Linked DNA regions of Schizosaccharomyces pombe. Changing the gene in region 1 together with any one later gene gives a genetic interaction. Each region holds a gene or a part of one and is shown on either strand. Other genes may lie near its edges.

What was found. A genetic interaction does not mean that the proteins touch.
Region 2: mutations in rei1 (region 1) and snz1 together harm fitness more than expected from each alone (negative genetic interaction), as found in Schizosaccharomyces pombe (one large-scale study listed by BioGRID).

What each region holds. Positions count from the first base shown.
Region 1 is NC_003421.2:1,220,734-1,225,028, forward strand, and holds rei1 (ribosome biogenesis protein), read right to left. Parts: upstream 2,449-4,295; 5' UTR 2,275-2,448; coding exon 883-2,274; 3' UTR 506-882; downstream 1-505. Other genes in the region: vgl1 (vigilin), read left to right, coding at 1-284; meiotic cohesin complex STAG protein Rec11, read right to left, coding at 2,953-3,267, 3,355-3,640, 3,684-4,099, 4,137-4,295.
Region 2 is NC_003424.3:5,413,149-5,416,693, reverse strand, and holds snz1 (pyridoxal 5'-phosphate synthase (glutamine hydrolyzing)), read right to left. Parts: upstream 1,757-3,545; 5' UTR 1,509-1,756; coding exon 618-1,508; 3' UTR 501-617; downstream 1-500. Other genes in the region: mtq1 (S-adenosylmethionine-dependent methyltransferase), read left to right, coding at 1-343.

The sequences.
Region 1 (4,295 bases):
ATAAGGAAAATGTTGAAAAGGCTATCGCTTCATTGGAAAAATCTATCAAGCAAGTTATGGAAAATTGTATTGCTTACTTGGGTATCCCAACGAACTTGCACCGTCGTATAATCGGTTCTGGTGGCTCTATTATTAATAAGATCCGAAAGATCGCCCAAGTTAAAATTGATGTTCCTCGTACTCCAGGCGATGAAATTGTAGTAGTCCAAGGAAGTCGAGCTGGCGTTGTCAAGGCTAAAGATCTGATTTTCGAGAGACTTCAAGAAAACCAAAATCAAGAGTAAGGTAAAATTTTGGAGCCTTTATTTAGTACTTACATTCATTTCTCAAATTTTTTTGAGAGTGTATTTGAAAATTATGTGTACGAAATATCATTTTGTCGCTCTTTTATTACTACATGTCATTTTTTAAGGAGACGGAAATTGCTTGAATCGAGCATTTTCCTTATTGATTCCTTCTTTGCTTTGTTACATTGCCTTTGTTTAATATTACAAATATAGACGCATAGGAAAAAGGCGTACCTAGTGCATTTATTCAATCTTTTCAGATATAAACATTGGAATGTATAGATAATTCAAGAAACTAGAATAGTTGAAATCTATGATTTTTTATGAGAAAATAAGCATTGTACGACAGATAGGACACAACAAGTTTTAGTAAAAGAATATTATAAATTTACAAACAACGAGCTAAAATTTAACCATTTCTCAAAAGAAGAACCATATTAGGACGTTTTTTTTTTCCAAATAGCGTAAATAAGTTAAAAAAACCCAGAAAACCCCAAAATAAAGAACACCGGAAGTAAGGAGAAATATGAGACGAAAGAATGTGGAGTATGAAGTATATAATGAAAGAAACAAAAGGCCTCGTACAATAAATAGACTATTGAAGAAGCGCATCGCGGAAATGCTTTTTTGTGTTATTCTTAATACCCATCTTGTTAGCAAATTCCTCTCTTCTTCTTTGGTCTTGGAATGATTTGATATGAGAGGCACTATAATTCTTACGGCCATCGCGAACACCAGCTATACTTGTTTCAACAGCTTGTCTATAAGCTCGGGCATTACCACTCATCGCACGTCTGGCGACGTTCTGATGAATAGAAGCACCATCTCCTACAGCGGTAGAACTAGAGTGAAGATTTTGGCGGAAGTAGCGAGATAACGAACGATGGCCCACACGATTACCAGAGGGTAAATGAAGTTCATATTCGTCAGCAATGGGTACACGACCCATTTCAAGACTATCTAAGCTGGAGTTATCTGAATCATCAGAAACATCTTCCCAGTCTCCTTCACCAGAGCTTCCATCTTCTTCTACGACAGTTTCGTCTTGCTTTACTGCATAGTCAGGATACGATGTAGTAAAATCATAAAAATCAGAGAGTTCAAGCTGTTCATCTTCTGTATCATAGGCAATAGAGGTATGCCCCTTTTGCTGCATATGGGCACGAACAGCTTCTAGTGATTTAAATTCACGATTGCAGGTAAGGCAAGTAAAGCCGATAGAAATTTTCTCTGCTAAATAATCGAATAGACTTGGTTCATCTACCAAATATTCCCGCTCAGGAATGTACAAGCTATGAGAAGCCTTCATATGCTTCTTGCATGTATCAAATGAAGAAAAAGAGGCTGCGCAAAACAGGCAATCTCTTGGTGAAAGACGTTGACTACTTCGACGAGCAAGTTCAGCTTCAATTTCTTCAGGAGTTGGTTCTTGTGTAAATAGATGAGACTTGGAAGCTTCGTTCGATTGAGGTATGGAAGTAGCCAATTCAGTTTTAGAGGGTTCACTTTCTCGACCATGAAGAGATAAGTTGGAAAGGGATATCGCCCTTGATGTCAGTTGTGAAGCTAAATCTTCTTCTTCCTCAATTTCGCTATCAACTACAGGTTCACCCATTGACAAGGTTGAAGAAGCAATACTACTTGCATCTTCACTTTGAAGTTTCTTAATACGGCTGTTTCTTTGAAATTTGCTCAAGTTATCGCGATGCTTCTTCGAAGCCATATGTGATGAATAGGCGCCTTCTGAATAAAACTTTTTATTACATACTTCACAGTTTTGATAAAATTCTGCTTTTTTCTGGACTTCCTCGTTCTGCTTTTGAATGGACAAAATCTTTCCAGCAAACACCTCAGCACTCAACGGCGGCAAGCTAGCAACCTTTCTCTTCAGATTATAATGATGCCAGTCAGACTTCCAATGTATTTTCTGTGATTCTGCATTATTGAAAGCCACAGTACAAGTCGTGCAAGCAAAAGAAGTCGACATTTCGGTATTCTGTCAAGTAATTCAATTCTTAGCCAGTACACTTTTTTATCGAAAAAAAAATTGATATTGAAGCCGAGTCTTTCCTCAAATATATTCTTTGACTCAAACTAACTTAATGAGATGAAGTCAACCCTTTTTTACAATACCTTGCACAAAAAGGTGTTGGTTGAATCCAACTTGCCTACGATCAACTATTGCCTACATAACTTGTAGCACCACCAAATTATTTTAAAGTGTCAAATAATTATCAATTTTATTGAAATCAAATAAAATTAATTGATATGTTAAACATCTTAATGTCTTGTTTTTTTAAACTTAATTTATGCATCCCTCAAAAACATTTTCTATTGCTTAGTAACATAAGGCGTACCTTTTGATTAACCAGTAAGTCCTAAGAAAACTCATATATAGACAAAGGGCTGGAAAGAAAGAAATGGCATGCATTGTAGTTTTAGCGAGCACACGAGCTCCCACTCTTCAGGGTTTAATTAAAATTGAGTATTTGAAATTGAGGTATTTTTGAGTTAGTTTCGTTGGAATAATCATATAGGAAATACATAATAGAGTTTAATGTCTTTTCCTTTTGTTTAATAAGTTTCCTTGCCTCAATAAGAAAGTTAGCACATGTGCTTTCTTATCTCTTTTCCCTCGGGGTTTAATTAGTGTTAAAATTTCGTTTTATGATAAATGGTCAGCTGTTTCTTTTAAACCTTTCACTAAATGACTCAGTGTTCCAGGATCTCTAGCACGATTGGGATACCAATCCTCAAACAGATTATTCCATAATTCCTTCTCCTCAGTATCTTCGGGTGAAAAAAAGTAAGAAGGGTTTCCAGATGATTTCTCTTTAAATTTCATTGACCATGCTTTAAAAGTTTCAATTTGTTCCATGATTTCTTCTTCATTCATCAATTTCAAGTCATCGTCACTAAAATTTATATCCCAATTATTTGCCTTTGATCCAAGAAACAATGTAAGCATCGTAATTGTAATCTGCTTATAGTTAGCATTTTACTCCACTAAATGTGATTGAAATCAACAGTCATAAAAGATAGATAGACAGCAACATTAGAGACTTACGAAAACTTTGCTTAAAAAGGAGTTTCCATTTTTTTGCTTCGCAACCTTAGCTGCTTTTAAAAATATATTTGTAAAAATACAGTTTCTATCTCTCATATCAGAAAGCAGAAGAAGAAATAAAACTTTCAAAGAAGAATAACAGACGATAGGACCGACTTCAAGACTACAAATTTCGCATAATTTTTCTGACAGTTTAATGTTCCAATCATTGACGTCTCGCAGACAGACCATTTCCTTTGCAAAGCATCCAAACTTATTTAAAGCTAAAACCAAGTTTTGCGTTTCACTTGTAAAGTTAGCAATCTAATAACAAAAAGAAAAATCCTTACTCATTGCCATTCAACTGATTTTTTTTGTTTATTTTTTTTCTTTGAATGTATGCATTGAGTTGCTCGTGTAAACTTTCTGCTAAATCATTATATACATTGTCAATGGCAAATAATATATCTTCCTGTACAACTTTGTTGACCGCCAATCGGTGGAAGAATCTGCTGCACAAAATCATCAGGAAGTTAACGGTAGTTGAATTAAATATATCCAGTATTTCTTTATACAACTTTGAAAAGTCCTTATGAAATTCTCTCTTATAAAGAAGCTCGTCAGGAATTTGCTCTACGCATTTTATAAAAAAGTATGATGAAACACAAGATTCTCTGTATTTCTGTAATAGTAATGGAAGGTTTCGTAACATTGCTTGCTGTTGGTTTACGACCTCATCTTCAAGTCTTTTACCTGGCTTCTTCGACTAGAGGTTTAGTAATATGAAGCTTTAAATAACTTACTCTTTTGCTAATATGTGTTGCAAAATAATGGAGATAGATAGAAGAAAATTCTATCACTGCGTTGCTCGGTATACAGGGGTTTAAGACACTGTTAGTATCTTTTGCATCAAAGCGATCATAAAGCAAGAGCTTTGCAACATCCTCCCAACTGGCAAGTAA
Region 2 (3,545 bases), on another chromosome or scaffold:
GTTGCTATGCAATCCTCCTTATATATCTGATGATGATTTTGCTGCACAAACCGACATTTCTGTGCGCAAATACGAGCCCAAGCTGGCTCTTTTAGCTAAAAACGGAGGTAATGAGTTTTATTACAAATTTAGTCAGTACATAAAAAGGATGTTACAAAGAAACGCCAAGGATTTTGTACCTTTATCCTTAATAGTTTTTGAAATCGGTAGCACTCATCAAGCTAAAATAGTGAAATCATTATTTGATGATACCAACTGGCAAGCGAATATTGAACAGGATGGCGCACATCAAGATCGAGTGGTAATAATCACCAGAAAAGATAGACGACTCATTGACATTTAAAAAGACTTCATTTGCTAAAACACAAAGAAATTATAACGCACTGAATCAAACATCGTTTTGAATCTGACCTGACTTACAAACATTTACGACTTTAGTCATAAATTCCAGACTAAGCTAACACTTAATACAATGATGAATTCAAAGTTACTAGGAGATTAAATCAAAATGAAACAAAAAAAAACTTTTTATTTAGTGAGTAAAAATAATATCAACAGATAAAATTAAACATTAAATGACATCTGCATTACGGAGAATATAAATCCTTCTCTAATATTTACCACCCGCGAGTAGCCAATTTTTCCTTCTCCTCCAAAGAGCTAACGCTGCGACCAACCATGGCGGCGCCCAAGTTCTCACTAACTTCAGCTAAAATCTTAGGATCGTTATAGTGAGTAACGGCACGAACAATGGCACGAGCACGCTTGGCCGGGTCACCAGACAAGAAGATGCCAGATCCTACAAAAACACCATCACAGCCAAGTTGCATCATGAGAGCAGCATCAGCAGGAGTGGCAACACCACCAGCAGCAAAGTTGACAACAGGCAAACGGCCTAATTGAGCACACTCCTTAACCAAATCAATGGGGGCGGCAATCTCCTTGGCATAGGTGTACAACTCATCGGGAGACATAGACTTCACACGACGAAGTTCACCTTGCATTTGGCGAGTGTGGCGGACAGCCTCCACAACATCACCAGTACCGGCCTCACCCTTGGTACGAATCATGGCAGCACCCTCGGAAATACGGCGCAGAGCTTCACCCAAGTTACGGCTGCCACAAACAAATGGAACAGTGAACTTGGATTTCTCGATATGGTTGATATCATCAGCAGGCGTTAAAACTTCAGACTCATCAATATAGTCAACACCAATGCTTTCCAAAATTTGAGCCTCGACGAAGTGTCCAATACGAACCTTAGCCATGACAGGAATTGAGACAGCAGCTTGAATTTCCTTGATCATAGAGGGATCGGACATACGAGCAACACCGCCCTGAGCACGAATATCGGCAGGAACACGCTCCAATGCCATGACAGCGCAAGCACCAGCAGCTTCAGCAATACGAGCTTGCTCTGCATTCACGACATCCATGATAACGCCACCCTTGAGCATTTGAGCAAGACCAGCCTTGACTTGAGTAGATCCCTTAATTTCGGCAGACATGATTAAGTAGATGCGATTAATTAAAATTTACTTTTTCCAAGCAAACAATAGGATGTATAAAGTGGTAAAACGAAAATGCAACAATGATTTTTCTATAGATATAATGGTCTTTGCCTTTAGACAAATGAGATACAAGGATCCTTTAAAGAAAACACCTAAAAATCAAAAAAATGAACCTTTCGAAACTCAGAACCTGACCAAGTTTTTATGTCAACACACAAAATGTGACTGTGATGATGGAAGAAATTAATCGAATAGCAAACAACACTCGCCTTATATACATTTTCATGCTTACCAAGATGTAATATAACGAAGCGTAGCATACACTACTTTAGGAAGTAAATGTCCGAAACCATTTGATTGATCCCGATAAGTATACAGTGGAGGCGCGTAGAAGATGTAAGCAACTTACAATTGATGTTGAAGCGATTTACAAAGAGGCGGATGTCTTTCTTTATCTAAACGACCTGCTAAACCTAACGTCAAATTGTTATGCTTGGAGGGAAAGCACAAAAACTGTTTCTCTCCTAAAGTCGACTTTAATAAAAGAATCCTCCTATTTATTTACATGCTGCAATTATCCGACAATTCATACTTTTGAGATGCTTCGTCATACTTTTAAAACGTACAAAACAATAAAGAATTACTAAATGAAATTGCTCATCATATATCCGGCGTATAAGTCATGTCTTTACTACCTTTATGGAAAGTTGCATACATTTTTTAGCGATCAATGGTAACAGGCGTGAACCGATTGCATCGGAAATATGGATATAAGCGTTCTACCAGATAATTTCTTGGTATGTTACCGATCAGCGTCTGCAATGTCCGTAATTTTTTGATGGATTAGGATACTGACTACCGACACCCAATATTCTTTATCTTATTTTGTGGGGACTGAGGTATCCAAGTCGCCGAAGAATGATCGATGTATCCATCTTGCGAGATATTTGCATGTCCATGGAAATAGATTTTATCAATACTAATTAAGAAGCCGCAAGTAGAGCCTTTCCTAACAAGGGCTTTATGCATCGCTTTATATACGCTGCTTCAATTGTCATTAGATTTTTGTTATGCAGTAATGTTTAACATTGTTTACCTTGAAACAAGATCGTTGAACTGGAAATGTAGTAATACTTCAAGGACTCCTCGTGTCCTGTTTGTTGTTTAATATAAACATACCAGGAATTGATTGGTATAACAATAACTGACTAGTAAAAAAAATCTGAAAAGAAACACATATTATTTATAACACTGCAATGTACCTAAAAACTGAAATACTCGTTTTCCACTGCTGTCTTATAGACTCATTTGAAAGGGTTTCAGCGTTTTTGTATGCAGTCATCCTCCCTATGAAACTAGTTGGCCATAAAGCGGTAGTAATTACTTTTGTTTTTCAAGCTAATAGCGGATGAGTAGAAGTACCAAAAAATTTACAACAAACTTTATCAAAATAACATCCTAGTTGTAAATTTTATGTGTAGATTAATTGATTTTATGGTATCTTTTGTTTTTAAATAAATTATTCCATTTTTCCCTCTCAAATTATTATTTTTTTTTTAAATATGACTGTTTTTTGCCATATTCGCTGTTTAGTTTGCACTTTTTTAGTTAGCTGAGTAACGTTATTACTGTCTCTTTGTAATCTATAAATATAAGCATTTTATTACATCTTTTCAAAAAAAAAATAATAATAATAATAATAATAAAATTTTATTACTGAAACAGCGTAGAATTCCGTGGCATGTTGGGTAATACTTTTCACATGCCGTAGAGAAAATATCAAAAATTGTTTCCTTTTACGTTACAACCCCTACCAACGCCCTAACATCATAAAAGAAAAAGATTTAAAGTAGAAATAACAAGTTACAAAAGTCGCCCGCAACAGGTTACTTTGGTCGATCTACATGTACACCAAAAAAGTGACATTTACTGAGGAAATACGAGGAATGAGTCTTTCAAAAAATTATGTACGTATTAGAAAAAAATTACTATTCAGATATTCAACGACAACAAAGTAATCCATTATAAGTTGGT